3 linked regions of the Oryctolagus cuniculus genome follow. The protein of the gene in region 1 interacts with the protein of each later gene in a biochemical or structural test. Links are inferred from orthologs where the notes say so. Each region holds a gene or a part of one and is shown in the gene's direction. Other genes may lie near its edges.

Region 1 (6,429 bases):
GAGGCCTCAAATCCTGCTGGTTGTTGGCAGGATGTCTCAGTTCCGTGCTGTGTGGGCCTCTGCACAGGGCTGCTTGACGTGTCCTTGCCACATCTCAGCTGCTAATGATCTGAGAATCGGGAGGATCCACAAAGACTTATTTCCGGCTTGTCTTGGAAGTGACACACTGACACTTCTGCCACATTCTGTCTGTTAGAGGCAAATCTCTAACTATAGCCCACACCCTCTAGGGAGAGAATTAGGTCCCACTTTGTGAGGAGGAGAATAGCAACACATTTATGGAGATATTTTATAGCAACTACAGATACAGAAAGATTCTTTAATAAGTTGGCTGGGAAATACAATACCACGAGCTATGAAGAGAAAAGATAGAACAACAGTCCAAAATAAATCCTAAATAATTAAATTATTTATTGAAAAAAGGGAATTGTCAAACAAGTAGGGCAAAAGTAAAGGCAGATAAATTATGATCTCAGGATGGGAAAAGATATGTGAAATAAAACAGAAAACAAAAGCGGAGAAGACCTACAGTTTCACCTATGGTCAATGTCTACATTTTTATAATGTGCCATTTTGTGAATCTTCTGATAAGAAAATGGGCAGCTAACTGACCAATATTGTTTACACATTTGAAAATATACCATAATGACTTGGGCACAATGAGGAAGCACATTTATGGTTCTGTGGGAAAACTGATGTCAACAATTATAACAATAGTAATTTATTGATTAATGTATCTTCAATATATGTTATGTAACTCAAGTATTTTACTTATAGCAAGCCTCTTTTTTTTTTTTTACAATATCATGTGGCAGTATTATATCAATTTTCTAGCTGAGGTATAATCAGATTAAGTAACTTGGGCTAATCTCATAGTTTGTAGGCGACAACAGGGTTGGCTTATCCATTAAGCCTAGCAGGCACAGTGCCACAGGCTCACAATACTTGCACAGCCCATAAAAAAATTCTAATTTCTATTAAAACTAGGAGATAAAAAAATATAAACGTTTAGGTCAAAGAAAATATGTTAATGTGTAATAGTAATATAATTGTCTTTATACCAAAGCAGTGCGGAAGCACAACTTGTAATATTAATATAATTTACAATATTATTTCATGGAGGAAGAGGCCCACAAAGGTAAAAGTGCCCCGGGTCCTGAAAGTTAGGTTGGCAGAGCTGTTTTGATCACAGGTAATGTGACATTTGGACACATGCTCTTCCTAGAAGTCAACTTGTCAATTAGTTACAAAAGGACTAAACTTGTTCATATTTTCAATCACTTTGTAAGAAGTAACCTATGACAACAAATAAGGACATAGATAATGACTTGGGAAAACATATATATATATATATATATATATATATATAACAGTGTGCATTGGAAACCAAAGGAACATTCCATAATGAAAGAAAAATGGTTCACTACTGGGTATCAATTTAGTGGGCTAGATGAACTCTAGGCGCTTCTGTACAGAAACAAGCTGAGTGGGAAACTGAGCAACTGGGGGAGCTGAACGTGAGACAGAGAAGAGCAGGAAGCAGAAGGAAGCCAGCATGCACTCTGGAGGAGGGCAGATCTTGCTGGGAATTCTTAGGGAATTGCTGGGTGGGTTGGCGGGTGGGGGGGGGGGCGGTGAGTTGCAAATTCGTGGTGACATCTATTTAAAGGGACTGTTACGCAAAACGAAGAGGGCAAATCAGAGGACATCGTGGTTAAAGCACAGAGATGAGTGAGTACATTCAGGGAAGCGGAAGGAGTTTTTCCTAAGAGGAGGAACAGAGTATATGAGCATGAAAAGGGGCTTGACTATCGCGGTAACCTTCCTCAGGAAAGCTAGGAAGAGCCAAAGAATGAAGCAGCGGGGTGAGCGACGAGCTCAGACGGGCATTCAGAATGATCTTCGGGGATTCAATGGGGACCAAATTCAGGTGTGAAGGCAGAGGTCAGCACTCCTGCCCCGGAGTGGAAGGAAATGTGCATGTGTCCCACCAGGAGGTATTTATTGGATCCCACAAATATTCGTGGAGTGGCATCAACAATGACACTGCCACTCTACGAAAAGCTCTGTTGTGACAAAAGAAGAGAGAGCAGGAAGGGAGTTTTAAAGTCAATGGAAAGTTTAGGTGAGAAAAGTCTTAAAACATGGTTATGCTAACAGGTGAGGTTAGAGAAGTGCCAGGAAGGGTCCCGAGAGGGAGCAGAGCGCAGGTTCGCTTGGGAGAGTAGCAGGGACACCAAGCCTCTGAGAGTGTGGACGTAGGTAATTTGTTGGGGTAGGTGAGGTGTTTGGGCAAACACTCGAGAAATTCATGCATGAGTAATGTGGCCCTTACTCACTTGTATTTGCTCGGCCTTCTAAAAGCAATACACGGGCACTTCCCTAAACAGGCTGACTCGGCGTGAATGATGGAAATAATAGACGCTACCTGATGAGACTGTTATGGGGACTAATTGCGCTGACACATACTCTTGTTCAACATGTATTAGCTTTATCACTGGGCTGACGTGGGCAGGGGTGGGTTGTGAACGTTTTGATTACCAATATACAGAAATTGCAAGTCTTCTGGTATGTCTATCTTCTAAATGCATGTACTTTGGCAACGGGCTCTAAGTCAAGCACTCAGCTAGGTCAAGCAGACTTTATTAACAGCCTGCTTTCGCTGTAAGGCGTTCGTAAAAAAGGACGCCAGTGCCCTAAGGAGCCTGCTTGAGGTCACGCGCAGGTTGGGCCGAGTACCGGAAAGTCAAGTCAGCAGTACCTAGCACTGGCTTAAAGCCTCTTCCCAAACCTCTGCGGAAGCCCCACCCCTTTCACAGGTCCAGGCCACGCCCCCTTCCCCTATTGGCTGGCCCGCCCCCGCCCCCCCACACGAGTCGATCGCTCAGAAGACCCGGAGGAGTGGCCCTTCTAAAGGCGGCGGGGGTGCCCTTGCTGCGCATGCTCGCAAATCCGCCGGATTCCGGCTCCGGAGTTGGAGTCTTTAGGTGGCCGCTGCGTAGCGCGGTGCCCGGGCGGGTGGAGGGGGCGCGCGCTCTGGGCGCGGCGCCGGTGACGCGGGCACGCGGCGTGCTCCCGAGGAAGGGAGGTGTGGGGTCGACTCGGGGGTGGCGCGTGGCCGGGGTGGGGGTGGGGGGAGGGTCGGGTGTCGGCAAACGCGGCGTGCGGGTTTCGAGTGGCTGCAGGCGGCCTGGGCTGCCGGGGCCGACGCCTGGGTGGCTGCCGCTGCCGCTGCCGCCGCCGCCGCCGCGCCTGCTGCGAGATGGCGATCTTAGGCGCGGAAGGTTGAGGGCGCCCGCCGCGGGAGGAGGCGCCGCAGCTGTGGCCGTCCGCTGCCGGGCGCCGGCAGCTTCGCGCAGGGTAAGGACGCCGGGGCGGGGGGCGCGGGGCGCGGGCCCGGAGCCTCGGCCGCGGTGTGGGGAGTCCGGCGCCGACCGCCCCCGGGCGGGACTCTCTCTCTCTCTCTCTCTCTCTCTCTCTCGGGGCCGTCGGGGGACAGTTCGCGCCGCCGTGTCTGCCTTCTCCAGCCCGGGGGGCCTGGAGTTTTCTGGGCTTGGGTCACGGGTCTTGCCCGGAGTTGGCCCTGGCACAGGCCTGGGCGAATGATCCTGGAGCGGGGCGAAGTGTTTCCGTGACTCTGCAGCCGCAGTTCCCCGTTCCCTTCGCCTTCTCGTCTGCTGCTTCTACGTTTCTGCCTCACACCTCCCTCAAAGCACGGACTCCCTGCCCGTGCCCTGACTTTCACCCCCTTCCGCCGTCCCAAACCAAGGACTCCAGTCTCAGAACGTCTCTTTCTGACGTGCTTTTTTTTTTTTTTTTAAATCTGGCTTTTCCACTGATTCCGCAGCCACCCCCCCCCCCAACACAACCCCCACCTCTACCTTTTGTGACCTGGTAGATCTCAGTGACCTTGCAGATTTTGCCAGTCCCAGCCTCACGTGTGACTTCAATCCCCTTCTTTAATCTTTTTTTTTTTTTTTGAGGGGTGGTAGTGGTGGTGGTAAATTTAAATTGATACTTTGTCCATTGCTTTTACAACATTTAAATTGCCAGCCTCATATGCACAAGGACTGTGCAGAGCTTTTCTTTACTCCGTGGATGTGGAGTTGACTTTCTTTTGCTCCGGTAATTACGTGAGAGCTTCGTTTCCAAAAAGCAAAAACAAAAAACACACACCAAAAAAACAGTAGTTATCTATGTATAAATTTGATGTTTTTACTCCTTAAAGACAGAATATTTTGTAAGGGCTTGCTTTAGTTTTCCTTTTTTTATTTGGAAAGATTTTAATCTTTTTTGTGTGTAGGCTCATATGCATAAAGATTGGAGTTTTTGCTTTAAGATGCTAATGGTCATAGTAGCAAAAGCTAATGTCCGAAGTTATCTTTCTTCCCCCTCTCCTCTTTAATATTTTTACCTGAAACACCTGGTTTATAGCTGTCTGCAGGTTTCTACAAGAGTTCATGCTTATGTTTAAATCCATTTTTACCTGTCTCATCAAGTCTGTGTATTATGCAAGCAAAAAATCAGGTTTTAAAAAATAAAGGCATTCTTTTATTTATGTGACTTGTTTTTAGCCATAAAGCAGTATATTGTGTTACTGGAAATTATTATTTTTCATAAATAGTTAATATTTTTAAGTTGAAGATGTTAGTGGCCAAGAGTTGGGAGCTACTTGAACTGAAAAGTGTGAAATGTGTGGAATAGTTCTTTGGAACATAGCTTACAAACATTTCAAAGTGTTTTTCCCATAAAGTGAAGAACTGCTTGTAAGACCCACAACACCATCGTTTTGAAAAGCAGTCCTTACAATGCTTGTTTTTTGGAAGACTAACATGATAGAGGATGTCATAGATAAGGTCTCTGCCTTCAAAGAGATTGTAATCTTTGCTGTTTACCCCAGGACGATTGACATTTCTTTTCCTTCCTTGCACAGTTATTTAGCATCTACTGCATGAGGTATTTTGGGGAATACAAAGAATAATTAACAATTTCTGTCCCCAGTCCTGCGAATAATACACACAAATGCCCCGTTTGTCTTTTAATATATAGTAAAGTTTCATAATGATACAAAAATCCAACCAGAATTTAAATTCAGAAGTGGTAGAGTTGCGATCCTCTGGAAAGGTGCAGTTAGTTAGGAGAACTTCTGGCTTTCTAAATCTTAGTTTTGAAGAATGACTGACATTGGATAGACAGGGAAAGATAATCCAAGCAAAGAGAAGAATCTGAGAGGGCACCAAGTTCATACATCTGGGAAGAGGCACGTAATTATGGTTAAATGGAACACAGAGTTTTTGTACTAGGATAAAGGGTGATAAAGCTTTGGTAAAGGCTTGGGACTAGTTGTGGATTGTTTTTAATGCCATGCTAATGACCTTGAATTTCCTAAGCATTGAGGGCTCCGAAGATAATTTTTAAGTTGGGAGTGAAACAATTTTAGACTATTGTTTTAAGAGGCTTAATCTGGTAGCAGCTTGTATGAGTGGAGGACTAGAGATCCTGGAAGTAGGAACACTTCCTGATTGTCTTAATTGTAGGTGGGGAGGCTCTAAGCTGTTTTGGTAATAGGATTGGAAAGGAAAAAGGAAATAGAATAGCCAGAATTTGAGAGGGATCCAGGTAGATTGGAGGAATAGGACCATTTTGAGCAAGATCCTTGTAGACTTGACCCTCAGTGTTTGTGAGTTACTTTACAACTTTTTGCTGTTTATTAATCCTAACTAAAAAAGCTGCTAGCCTGGAAGACTTCCAGAGGCACAGTGAGGACTCTTCAAAGAGTTTGGAAAATGTGCATTTATTTTTAATTTCTTTTGAGAGACACCGCTCTCAGTTGCTGGTTCATTTCCCCAATGTTTGCAGCTGCAGGCTGGGCCAGGTGGAAACTGGGAGTCAGGAATTTAATCCAGGTCCCCTATGGAGGTGGTAGGGACCCAGCCACTTGAGCCATCACCTGCTGCCTCCCAGAGGCATTAACAGAACTGAAATCAGAGTGGAGCTGGGACTTGAACCCAGGCACTGTGATATGGGATGTGGGTGTCCTAACTGATGGCTTAAGTAGTAGGCCAAGCACCTACTTCACATTATTTTTAATTTTATTTTTGAAGTACTCTTGTATGCCTTATGGATATAATTTTAGGGGAGTCCATGGACCACCTGAAGCTCATTCATGAAACCCCCTTGGCCAGTCAGTTGGGCTGGGGGCTTCTGGGAGCTTTTTAAAATAGCAGAAGCTTCAGATTCTTCCATTCACTGAAAAGAAGACCTACTGTAGAGATAAACTGTGTATAAACCTAGAGACATAGTGTTATGCTTGTGTTGTGGTTGACAGTTTGCAGAGATTTTATACTGTCTCTTGTTATTTTATAGAACAAAGTAGCCAAGAGTATAAATGATTTGCCTTAGAGTTGCTGGTGGGTGAAGTGGAATCAG
Region 2 (6,392 bases), on another chromosome or scaffold:
GCCCCTGCACCCCATGGGGGATCCGGAAGAAGTTCCTGGCTCCTGGCTTTGGATTGGCTCAGTTCTGGCCGTTGCAGCCACTGGGGAATGAACGAGTGGATGGAAGACCTCTCTCTCTCTCTCTCTCTGCCTCTGCCTCTCTCTAACTCTACCTTTCAAATAAATAAGTAAATCATAAAAAAAAAAGTTTCCTGTGTTCAACACCTGCTAATGCAGATCCCTGGAGACAGCAGTGACCTGGACTGAGTTTCTGTCTCAGCTTCAACCCCACCCCACGCCCAGCTGTCATATGCATTTAGAGGGTGAACCGGGGAACACGAGCTTCCCCCCAGATAAATAATTCATACTTTAAAAATATTTCTTCTTGTGGGTCAGAATGTAAAAATTGAGAACCAGTCTCTGGAGAGCAGCCTGCTCACCTCGTCGCGTCACAGCACACACGGGTTTGCTCGGCTCACAAGGCCAACAGAGGAAGCTGCTGGGACCCAAGAGGCCGCGGACTGTGGGGCGCAGCCCCCCCCCCCCGCTGGCTTCTGTCGCAGGCGCACCTGCGCCCTTCTCTGCGCTCCGCCAGCCAGCTCTGGCCTGGAGAACGCACGCTTCAGTTCAGAAACGAAGGGTCCTTACCGGACACAGGCAGAGCGACAGGAAAGAGGAGAAGAGGTTCCAGCCCCGAGACCCCAGCCCAGAAGGGCTTGGTCCAGCAACGAGCTGCTGCGGGGCCCTCAGCTCCAGCCCTGGGGTCGCCGGCGTCTCCAGGACCTGGAGCAGCGGTGTGGCCGTGGCTCCCCCGAACACTTCAGGCCGGCATCACCTAAGCTTGCTATGGCTCCCACCGGGAGGTCCCCGTGGCTACACTCCTCCTCTGGTCACAAGGCCCCTGGTGGCCACAGCGCCCTGCGCTACAATCCTGTATTCCGTCCAAAACCGGCTGAGCTTCAGCCCCCCCCCCCCCGATCCCGCAGCTGGGGGCCCGTGTTGTGTCCCAGTGGGTTAACCAGTGCGTTAGCTGATGCCGGCACCCCCTGCGATGGAGTTCCAGGCTCCTGGCTTCAGTTCGGTCCAGCTACAGCTATTGAAGCCACTTCAGGAGTGACAGCAGATGGCATCTTGCCTCTAGCTGGACCCTAGTTTGGCCAAGGGGTGGGGTTGGGGCTTGAAGGTTCTACCCTACCTCCCTTCCATGGAGCGCCCCACTGCAGGGGGAGTCCCTCCCCCCTCCTTTTTTTTAATTTATTAATGTGAAAGGCAGGGAGAGAGGAGAGAGAGAGATTCACCTTCCATCTCCATCTACTGGATTACTCCCCAAATATCCACACAACACCCAGGGCTGGGCCAGGCCTAAGCCAGGAACACCAAGCATCAGGAGCTTCATCCTGGTCTCCCACGAGGGTGCAGGGATCCAAGCACTCGGGCCATCTTCCACTGCTTTCCCAGGCTCATTAGCAGGGAGCTGGATCCGAAGTGGGGCAGCCGGGAACCGCCCCCCCCCCCGAACCTGTGTCCTTATAGGATGCCGGGGTCGCAGGATGGTGCCACAACGCTGGCCCCCCTTCATTGCCCTGTTTTTTAAAAATACAAATGAGTTCTTTACATGGGCTATAGAGATGGCACCTGCCAAACCGGCCCGACCACGTGGGGCGGCCGTCACCGGGACCCGCTCAGTGCCCAGCCCAGGCCCTGCGAGGTGCGGCCCGGCCTGGCACAGGATCGCACGAGGCTGCTGTGTCAGGATCTTCCCCGTGACGCGGTCCTCGGGACGCAATCGCTTTCAAAGCTAAGGCAACCAAACTCTGACCCGTGAGATTAACCATTCCCGGAATGGACTCTGGACGCCGCCTGCCCCTGGGCCGCTGGAATCACAGCTTCTCTGAGCCAGCCCAGCTTTGGAAGCCCCGGTGTCTGGCTGCCGGCCTCGCACTCCGCCTGGTTTCAGGGACTCCGTCTGGTTGAAATTTTCCAGGCAGGGGCCGGGCTGGCTGGGGCTGCCAGGCAGAACATTCTAGAGCGGGCAGCGCCACCGCGAGGCCAGCTGCGGTGGAGTCGGCGGCGAGGAGGGAGCCCGAGGGACCCCGGCCCCACCGCGAGAGGGGAGGGGAGAAGAGAGGGGAGGGGGACGAGGGGAGGGAGGGGTGGGGAGGGGGAGAGGGGATAAAGAGGGGAGGGGAGGGGAGGAGAAGAGAGGGGAGGGGGACGAGGGGAGGGAGGGGTGGGGGGAGGGGATAAAGAGGGGAGGAGAAGAGGGGGGAGGGGATAAAGAGGGGAGTAGAGGGGAGGGGAGGAGAAGAGGGGGGAGGGGATAAAGAGGGGAGGAGAGGGGAGGGAGGAGTGGAGGGGGTGGGGAGGGGATGGCGGAGGCGGGGGCAGTGAGTCTCCCCTCCCCACTGCGTCCTCGCAGCCCACCTCGGAGAGCCTGGGCTTGACTGGTTAAAGGGGTGGCCGTGTTTTCCTAGGGAAACTGGGCCTTGGGCCCCAGCCCCAGGGCCCATATTCTGTCCTTGTAGGCCTTATTAATACGCGCCCGTGGCCTTTAGGATGAAGCCCCTACCCCAGGAAGAAGCTAAACTGTTTATTCCCAGCCTTCTGGGGACGCGCACAGTCCGATTGTTTACGCAAACCACAGCGTCGATCCTAGCCTGTGGTCTAGAAGACTACAAGTCCCAGAATGTATTTCCAGAACGCATCTCTTTCATCAGCGTAGGGACCGGGCCAGGCTGAGGGCGAACTGCCTACTGGGAATTGTAGTCTCCAACTTGTTTGTGACGCAGGCGGAACTCGGGGGAGAGGGAGAAGGAATAAACTATTACCACGTGACGCCCGGGATCAGGTGGTTGGGCCAGCCTCCGTGCAGGAGCTGTGATTGGCTGGTTCTAATAAGAACGACGCCACTAGGGGCGGGCCGAAGTGGGGCGCAAGCGTACTGCGGTTTGAGTCTCGGGACCCCTCTCGGAGAGACTATGGCGCTCAACAAGAATCACTCGGAGGGCGGCGGAGTGATCGTCAACAACACGGAGAGGTGAAAACTCCGCGGCAGGACCCCGGAGGACAGCGGGGCGGGTGTCCGGGGGTGGGCGGTGGGGAGTAGACCCCTGCGGGGGCGGACTGGTGGAGCGCCGAGGAGGAGTGACGGCTGGGGGCGGGCCCGTGGGGGGCTGCGGTGTTGCGATCCCAGGGGCGGCGGGTGGGGAGGCCCGGGGGTGGCTGTCGGGCGCCTTCCCCGGGAGCTGGGAGGAGCCTGGCGCAAACATTGCCATTGCTGAGTGTTGACTCCCTTACTACGTGCGGGGCCCGGGGCCTCGGCCGGCTGGTGGGCGCCGACCCCCGCGCGGCAAACTTCCTGCCCTACGCGGGGCCCGGTGGGGCGAATGGAGCGCCCGGAGGTGGGCGCGCCACTGCCGGAGCTCCGGGCGCTGAGCCGCGCAGACGGGCGCTGCAGGAGAGGAGTCCACCCGGGCTTCACGGCCAGGCTTAGGGCCAGGCGAGAGGCTGAGGGCCCCGAGGGCGGATGTCCCGGCTCGCGAGTAGGTCCTTGTAAAGGTTACCACCCACCGGGCCACTTTGTCGCGAAGGCCTGCTGGCCTGGGTCGCCGCCAGGGTCAGGGCTGGTCCTGCTCCCCGCCCCTGCTCAGGGCATCGCTCCCCTCCTTCCATCCTCTGGGTGGCCTCTCCTGCCCCCTAGGCCTGGGGCATTGGCCAGCCAGGCCTGGCTTGAGCCACGCCGAGCCTGGTTCGCTCTCGAAGGCAGAAGGAACCGAGGAGCAGCCTTGGTCTCCAGGGCGGACAGGGTGCAGGGAGAGCCGTGCCAGCCCGGACAGCACCCAGCCCGGGCCCTGCCAGGGGAGACTGCGGGGTGCCCTGGACCCCAGGGAGCTTGCTCTCCCTGCACCCACCTGCTCGGCCGCTGGGCACTAACACCAGCTGGCCGCTGGGCACGTCTTCCTCTGGGCCGCCCTCCTCCCTGCTGCTACGCCCCCCCCCCCAGTGGAGAAAGTTGTAATATTTGGGAAGGGGGGGGAGCCAGATGGGGCTGAACTTGGAGCTTTTCTATCGCGTAGTCAGAGTGGCCTCAGGTTACAGACGGGCGTGTTGTGTCTGGAGCCTCTGCCTAACATCGCTTGATCTCCTGGGACTTTGTCTTTCTAAGGGGGACTTAAAATGTATCTGTCTGGGACCGGAACGACGTCCTGCTGGGCCCGCCCCCCCCCCCCCCCCCCGCGGGGCTCAGTGTGCCTGTACTTAGTGCTTTGTTGTTTTTGAGAGACTCCCATCCGCTGATCTGCCCCGAATGCCCACAGCAGCCAGTGCGGGGCCAGGGGTCCAGGTCTCCCACGTGCGTGACGGGGACCCCATCACCAGAGCCGCCGCTGCTGCCTCCCAGTCGGGAGTGGGGACCAGGACTGGGTCCAGGCTCTCCCATACGCAGTGCGGTGTCCCCAGGGTGGCGCCTTAGCCACCAGGCTGAACGCCCATCGCAGTGGCCTTGTTGGAGGAGGAAGTTGTGTCTGTAACTGAGCCTGGTGTTTAACACTGGATGTGTAGAATAGTGGGTTCCTCCCAGGAAAGCGCACACGCAGGATCGTCCTGGGGCTTCGTGGTCAGGTGTCCCCGCAGACCAAGAACCCCGGAGGGAGCCGTTTGAGAGGTGTGGCGTCATGCCCGGGACTCAGACACGTGTGCTCTGCTCAGGTGACAGAAAGGGACCTAGGAAAGGCCCAGATGATGCCCCGCCTGCAGGCTGGAGTGGCCACGTGGCTGCGGGGGACCCTGCTCGGCTGCGTGAGCCCCTTCCTTGCACTGTGAGGAGGGCCCAGTGCCGGGTCCCAGATCCCACCTCTGCAGTGTCTCATCCGGGCCTCTCCCCTCCCCTGGCCACAGCATCCTGATGTCCTATGATCATGTGGAACTCACGTTCAATGACATGAAGAATGTGCCAGAAGCCTTCAAAGGGACCAAGAAAGGCACGGTCTACCTTACCCCTTACCGGGTGAGTTGCTCAGCGGCGCCGTGGGTCTGGGGGCTCAGGGGTAGGTGAGTCCCGGTCGTAGGTCAGCCTCAGCCTGCGGGTTGAGGGGCTTCCCTCCGCCCGTTCCTCTGTCCCGTGCTCCCGGACCCCGGGCCGACTACAGCCGAATGGGCTGCTGGGCAGTGAATCGGAGCTTACCCCGGGGTGCCGCCTGGAGGCCGGCGGCCTGGTCGTCCAGCCTGGGTTTCTGTGAGAGTAGCCGGAGAGGCCTTTGTGCTCACGCGGAGTGGTGGACGTGGTAAACAGGATGCAGTAGCCTGGCTCCAGCCTCCAGCCTGGGCAGCGAGCCCAGCGAGTCCTGCAGAGAGAAACGCCAGATTGCAGAACCGGCTCGCCTCCCAGCTGCCCACGCCGGCTTGGAGATGAGCACGAGCGGATGTTCTCAGAGGAGGAGCCGGCCGTGGCCGCGGAGGGCAGTGGAAAGACGGCCGCAAGCGACAAGCAGCAGGGCGCGTTGTCAGGATGGGTTGTTTTTTGTTTTGGATTATTTTTACTACTTAAAAAGCAGAGCGTGCTTGCATGAGAGAGAGAGATCTTCCATTCGTTGGTTCCTCCTCCAAATGCCCACAACAGCCGGGAGCCCGGAAGCTCTCTGGGACCCACGTGGGCGGCAGGGGCTCAGCACTTCCTGCCCCCGGGAAGCAGTAGCGAGCGGCCGGACTGGAAGGCGCACGCCTGCAGCAGCACGACACCTCTCCGCGTCTTCAGGCCGTGATCACCGGGACGTGGCCACGGCAGAGGAGCCATGAGACGCCGTCCCTGCACGGCCGGGGTTGAAAGGAATCCAAGGTGGCGTCTTCACCCCCAGACTGCAATCAGGATGTTAACGCCCCGCGGGCTCTCCACACGCACGCAGGCCGGGTTCGAGCAGCAGTGTGGACACAGCAGCCCCTGGCCCCGACTCGGACGCTCCTGCCACTCTGCCCTTGCCGGTGGGCGCAGCACAGGCCAGAGACTCCCCCGGCTCCCGGCCGCCCCTCGGGCAGCACGCCTGCAGCCCCTCCCATCTGCTGATTCACTCCCGAATGCCTGCGACAGTGGGCGTTGTGTGGGCGTTGAGCCAGGAACTCGCCCTGGGGGGTCTCACGAGGGGGGCAGGTGCACATGGACAGGAAGCTGGAATGGTGAGCAGAGCTTGGGCTGGACCCAGGCACTCTGGTGTAGGAAGTGGGCGACCCAGTGGTGTCTCGGCTGCCACGCCACATGCCTGGCCCTCCCTGCCCCCTTGAAGTGTGGCCCGTGATGGGCGCGTTTGTCATGTGAGCGTGTGAGTCTGGTCTCTCCCAAGTGCACAAAAGGCGTTGGCTATGTAAAGCTGACACGGGAGCGTGCGGTGTGGAAGGACCCTGGGCTGCCAGCCGGCACCGGG
Region 3 (6,356 bases), on another chromosome or scaffold:
CTGGCAGTTGGCGCTTACACTTGCCCGGCAGCCGAATTAGAGCAACCGCCTGTTTCTCTCGCCCACGCAAGGGAGTCATATAGCCCAGAAAAAACTTCCCGGGACTTTTAGCCTGTCCCAAGGAAGGGGAAAAAAAAAATTGGAAGCATACCCACATGCAAACAGCTGGAAGAGCTAAAATCAGAAACCACTAACCGCCGCGGGAGCGCGGTGCGCGAAAGGGTTTAGCTGGGTTTATTTCCAGAGCCGGTCCTGGCCCCTCGGTGCGGGGTGTGTGTGCCCCCCAGCGCCTGGCCCGGGCTCCGCCGGCCTCCGCGGGCGCACGGAGGCCAGTGGCGTTGGTCGGGGATGTGACTCACATGACTGGGCGTCCGTTTTTATTTTTAAATCGTGTCTATCCGGGAAATCCCGGCCTCATCCACACTGAATGATCTTGTAGTCCCGAGATGAAACGCTTTTGAAATTAAGCGGTGGCAGAAAATGACTGTCTTATCTACCGATCGAGGTGCCGTGGTTGCTAGTTATGGGAGCCCTGCCATCTAGTTGTGTGTTTCTTTGAGAATTTCCTGTTCCATGTTAAAAATTGGGGGGGGGGGGGGCTTATGTTATTCTAGGAGAAAAGATAGCTGTGAAAAGACTGAGGGCAGCTTGTTACTAGCTGGATCATGTTCTTAAAAAAAATCACCCCTTGAAAACTATGTGGTTATTTGAGTTTGTCACTCTCCTGCCTAGGAGATACCTAGAGGATAAGGCATGACTGAGCTTTTTGCAGAGAGAGGGGGAATGTAGCGCCGGCCCACTGGGGAGGACATGATAAATGTTTGGCTGATGACTGTGCTAGCCCATCAGCAGCCTCTCCCCACCTACCCGGCTACCAAGGGAGTGATTTCCCCCTAGGTAATTAAAGATCTGTTTGAGATAGGGATATGAATAGGAACATTTCATTATCATATTAACCAATTACCGAATCTACTGATTAAAATCAACATTTAGATCAAATGCTAAATGTGAAACTGTTTTGTTTCAGTGGATACTGTGTTTTGCCAAAACATTGTATTTAGGTTTCCATTAAATCGTAAACAAGAAGAGGCACTGAACTAGCTGAAGAATGTTTTAGATGAGGTATTTCAGAAATACCTTGCCAAGCAAAAAAAAAAAAAAAAAACTGCAAACAAGATTTGTAGAGTTGTGCGAGTGTAAGAATGTTAAGCTTAACTAGAATTGAGGTAGTTTGGCAATATTTCATTACTGCCCTCGTACTTGAATTGCACACTTGACTGTGTAATGGGGCAGGGAATCCTGTTTGTCCTACTATTGCATCACAGAGGAATATGATTTCTGTTTGCTTCCTTTTTTTTCTTGATTTGCCTTTTTTTTTTCACTTTTTTTGTCTGGGACTGATAAAGGGGAGCGATTTTTATCAAATGCATGTTAGAGTTTCATAAGGTTTTGGTGAACCAGTTATTACACAATTGACAAAATAAACCTGGTCCATTTATAAGCAACACTTAGGAGTTTGTCCTAGTACTTTATGTCGGGATTGGAGGGTGTAAGAGGTTTTTTAAAAAGAGCACGTTTGAATCAGGTGGATTATGCGTGTTTGTGTCTCTTCTTTTTTAGACAAGATGTGAAATGGAAAAGTATCTGACACCTCAGCTGCCTCCAGTTCCAATAATTCCAGAACATAAAAAGTATAGACGAGACAGTGCCTCGGTGGTAGACCAGTTCTTCACTGACAGTGAAGGGCTGCCTTACAGTATCAACATGAACGTCTTCCTCCCTGACATCACTCACCTGAGAACTGGCCTCTACAAGTCCCAGAGACCGTGCGTAACACACATCAAGACAGAGCCTGTTACCATTTTCAGCCACCAGAGTGAAACAACCGCCCCTCCTCCGGCCCCGACCCAGGCCCTCCCCGAGTTCACCAGTATTTTCAGCTCCCACCAGGCCGCAGCTCCAGAGGTGAACAATATCTTCATCAAACAAGAACTTCCTACACCAGATCTTCATCTTTCTGTCCCTCCCCAGCAGGGCCACCTGTACCAGCTGCTGAACACACCGGATCTAGATATGCCCAGTTCTACAAACCAGACAGCAGTGATGGACACTCTCAATGTTTCTATGTCAGCCGCCATGGCAGGCCTGAACACACACACCTCTGCCGTTCCACAGACTGCAATGAAACAGTTCCAGGGCATGCCCCCTTGCACATACACAATGCCAAGTCAGTTTCTGCCACAACAGGCCACTTACTTTCCCCCATCACCACCGAGCTCAGAGCCTGGAAGTCCTGATAGACAAGCAGAGATGCTCCAGAATTTAACCCCACCGCCATCCTATGCTGCTACCATTGCTTCCAAGCTGGCAATTCACAATCCAAATTTACCTGCCACCCTGCCAGTCAATTCGCAAAACATCCAACCCGTCAGATACAATAGAAGGAGTAACCCCGACCTGGAGAAACGCCGCATCCACTACTGCGATTACCCTGGTATGTCATCTACACTGGGGTGGAGCGACAATCAATAGTGTTTGTGTGTCTGTACAGGTGTGCAGTTGTGTCTCTTCCAAACTCAGACCTTACATTTATATAGGAACCTTGACAGTAACACCTACGTTGTTCATTTCATACCCTGTTTTTGTGCTTTACTGTGGTATGAAACAAGTTAGTAGTCTATTGCTTATTTTTATATATTTAAAAAATGTCTAGAATACTCTGGAGAAAAGTTATCTTGAACTTTTTTCTCTTCAGCAGTACATTTGAGTTTCACACACATTACAGAGTTTACATTTACTTTAAGATAATCTAATGAATTGCAGTTTTTTATTATAGATTAAGTGCCTGGAAAAATATTGGGGGGGGTGAAATATTGTGTAGAAATGAAACGGGCGCTGTGGACAGCTAGCTGATAACAGCTACGAGACGGTCCAGGGTAGATTTATGGTAGCTTCTGATAGCATATGCTCATTCTTGAATGAGGGATGCAGCTGAAAATATAAATTGATGACAGTAATGAGTATATTTACAAGTTGCTGGCGTAAGCTAGTTTATGTTTAATACAGGGCATAATTTATTGACTATGGTACATGATATGGCATGACGTGCTAAATGAAAAAACAAGAAATGTCGGAGTACAGAAAATTGTAGTCATCTTAGATAATGGCTTAGCATTGTAGTTCTAGAGCCATTGAAATTTTTTAAAAAACATACTATAGTAGCTGTTAGTTGCTGAACTGTGTGTTGCTAGTATAACCTACCTACTGGAATATAAACACAAACGTTCTATTTGTAGTTTGGCCCGATTTTGTGTGTTCTTTCCTACTAAGGCGATAGATGAAACCGATCACTTTATGCCTTTAATAAGATAATGGGGGAGCACGCAAAGACTTTTAAAACTGAAACTTCAAATATCTCATCTAGCACTAGAGATTTCTTCTTTAAAGTCAGATTTTAAAGACTGAATCATCAGATGTAAAGGTTTCAAAAGGCTCTGCGAAATGACAAGCTGTTCTTCTCCTTCATTTTAGGCTGCACAAAAGTTTATACAAAGTCTTCTCATTTAAAAGCTCACCTGAGGACTCACACTGGTATGTAATTTTCTTGTTAATACTGGGAGTTGTGTAAATAGTGTAAGTGGTATTCATCCTTTTAAAAGCCAACACGTGTTTGATCTCTTCTTTCTTCTGTCAACTTTTATTTTTTAATGGCCTACCTTTTCAGTACTGGCTTGGCTCAAAATTCAGTTCCATGAAAAAGTCTGGTTCCAGGAAGGCTGATGTTCCCTCACTAACGCCTTGCCTGTCACCTCACATAGGATTAATTACTGAAAAATCTAAACAACGATGTTTACTAATGGACTTTAAAACTTTTAATGGCACTGCTGGTTCAGTCTTGAGGGGGGGAAAATGAAATTAATTTTCTTCCTTTGTAGCAAATCATTTTGCTTCCACAGAGCCACTGTGAACACCAAAAACCTTTCCACCTGGCATGTGCGCTATGGCTGCTGAGCGGTGTCTGTTATCTCTGATTTCACGTTTAGTGTGAAATACCTGTTTCACGTATTTTCTGTACTTGCTGAAAGGTAGGGCTGAAATTGCCGAGTATTAAAGTCAAGTGGTTAGAAATGGGGTAATATTTTAAAAATTATTCTACAAATTGGATTCTACAAATTGGGTATATTTATTTGAGAGATTTCATCTTTGTTTAAAATGTACTTTTAACTATAGCCCCTTTCATTTTAAAAGTGTCTGCTTGTTTTGTTAAATCCACGATAGTCACTTTTCAGAGACTTAATTTTAAAATGCATTTTAAGGTGAAACTAGGTGGCATACTTCATGAAACGCGTCCAAATACCCAAAATATTTTTTAATATATAGATGGTTACTCCTTGTAATTTTCTTAAAAGAACAGCCCTAAAGCAAAGAACTTATATAAAGTGACTGTTTTCCCTTCAATAAATGCAGCCTTACCTAAAGTTCAAAGAATAAGTTTGCTAATAAAAGCAATGACCTAGCAAAATGTATTATTCCATCATTGCTATGGAAACCAAAGTATTCAACAGTTCCTTTGAATGGGTTGTTGGATTAGTGTGAGGACTTGAATCTCCCCAGGCTAGATGTTACTATGGAAATTGAGTTTTGATAAATGAAGTAGTTATCTCTAACTGCTACATTAAAAAGTAAAAGCCTTTGAACAAAGGTCAGTGCTGAGATAGAGTCCTGAGAGGAACATGGTTGCAGACATTTTGTGTGCATGTTAGAATTGCTTGATATCCCAGTGATAAACACTACTTATTAAAATCAGAGTAATATCGGCGACAATGGTGGTAGGTTACAAGACTTTTTGAGAAACCGCTTTTAAAGAAAAGCCATTTCCTCTATCTATGAAATGAATGGGTTATTTTGGTCTCGGGTTTTTAAATATAGACAAATTGATCATGTGAAAGGAAAGATTCTATTATGTAAGCAACTCAAGGTAGAAATTATGGTTCAACACCCACAAAAAAGAACCAAAAATGAATGGGCTGCCCTTGGGGAAAAGGATCTAAGCTTTATGGCTTGTCCCTACTTACACATTTTTGTTTAAATTATTTAAATAGGAAACACAGGTCTGTGGCTTTAAAAATGATGCCTCAGAAGGCACAAAAGGATTTGTGTCATTTTTTATTTAAAGCAATACTGTATCAACATCAAATCATTAGAACCAATTTCTTAAAAAAAGCCCACAAAATAAACATGTTATAAAAACTTAAATATGAGCCGGCGCCGTGGCTCAATAGGCTAATCCTCCACCTTGCGGCGCCGGCACACCGGGTTCTAGTCCCGGTCGGGGCGCCGGATTCTGTCCCGGTTGCCCCTCTTCCAGGCCAGCTCTCTGCTATGGCCAGGGAGTGCAGTGGAGGATGGCCCAGGTGCTTGGGCCCTGCACCCCATGGGAGACCAGGAAAAGCACCTGGCTCCTGGCTCCTGCCATCGGATCAGCGTGGTGCGCCGGCTGCAGTGGCGGCCATTGGAGGGTGAACCAACGGCAAAGGAAGACCTTTCTCTCTCTGTCTCTCTCTCTCACTGTCCACTCTGCCTATAAAAAAAAAAAAAAAAAAAAAAAAAAAAAAAAAAAAAAAAACTTAAATATAAAGATTTCAAGATACAAATGACAAGTGCCAGGAAAACATTCTGTTTACAAATACTGAAATACCATACTACAGGAAACATATTAAGAAAACATTGAAAAATTATTTCAGCCTGATTTTGAGGGGGATGTAGAAATAACTTAGAAATATTTATTTGAACTATTGTTTTTTTCTCTTTTGGAAGACCTTGAAACAGGAGATAAGAACTAGGGAACACATTTTCATGGGGTTAAAGTCCCCTAATAAAGGAAGAGTACAATCTCATATAACGATGTAATCAGCCGCTTATTGCAGAGAAGTAGTCTGACTATATCTAAATAGCCTTTCAACCCCTGTCAGGGTTTAGTGCTCTGAATGCTTGTACCTGGGATTCAAGAACTTGACCTGCTGGCAGAGAAATTGAATAGTGGGCTATCTTCACAATGCTTGTGGTAACAAGCTAAAAAGAGTCTCATGCGTGGACTTTTTCACCTGATCATAAACATTGTGGCCTTCAGCATCTAATGAGTGAGCCCGTGCAGTGTAATCCAGTTTAATAAAGTTGTGTTTGATAGTCTTTCAAATACCTTGGGGAGGGTTTGTACCAGACTCGTTCATCTGGCTAAACCCGTTCTTGGGTAATCATAGAGCATTGAGGTTGTTTTCTCCTCATTTCTAGTTTCCAGACAATGCCTTTTAAAATGACCTGTGCTCTCTCGTTGCATCCTCCCCACCCCATCCATT

Evidence for each region.
Region 2: of the proteins of WWP1 (region 1) and WBP2, one has a biochemical effect on the other in vitro, tested with the Homo sapiens proteins (2 studies listed by BioGRID, with this or other methods). The link is inferred for Oryctolagus cuniculus from reciprocal best matches to the Homo sapiens genes WWP1 and WBP2.
Region 3: of the proteins of WWP1 (region 1) and KLF5, one has a biochemical effect on the other in vitro, tested with the Homo sapiens proteins (4 studies listed by BioGRID, with this or other methods). The link is inferred for Oryctolagus cuniculus from reciprocal best matches to the Homo sapiens genes WWP1 and KLF5.

Annotation. Positions count from the first base shown.
Region 1 is NC_091437.1:111,620,570-111,626,998, forward strand, and holds the start of WWP1 (NEDD4-like E3 ubiquitin-protein ligase WWP1), read left to right. Parts: upstream 1-2,983; 5' UTR 2,984-3,360; intron 3,361-6,429. UniProt on the Homo sapiens protein: E3 ubiquitin-protein ligase which accepts ubiquitin from an E2 ubiquitin-conjugating enzyme in the form of a thioester and then directly transfers the ubiquitin to targeted substrates.
Region 2 is NC_091448.1:4,794,826-4,801,217, forward strand, and holds the start of WBP2 (WW domain-binding protein 2), read left to right. Parts: upstream 1-2,351; 5' UTR 2,352-2,957; coding exon 2,958-3,016; intron 3,017-4,875; coding exon 4,876-4,984; intron 4,985-6,392. UniProt on the Homo sapiens protein: Acts as a transcriptional coactivator of estrogen and progesterone receptors (ESR1 and PGR) upon hormone activation. In presence of estrogen, binds to ESR1-responsive promoters. Synergizes with YAP1 to enhance PGR activity.
Region 3 is NC_091440.1:39,677,144-39,683,499, reverse strand, and holds the start of KLF5 (Krueppel-like factor 5), read left to right. Parts: upstream 1-2,073; coding exon 2,074-2,494; intron 2,495-3,531; coding exon 3,532-3,591; intron 3,592-6,356. UniProt on the Homo sapiens protein: Transcription factor that binds to GC box promoter elements. Activates the transcription of these genes.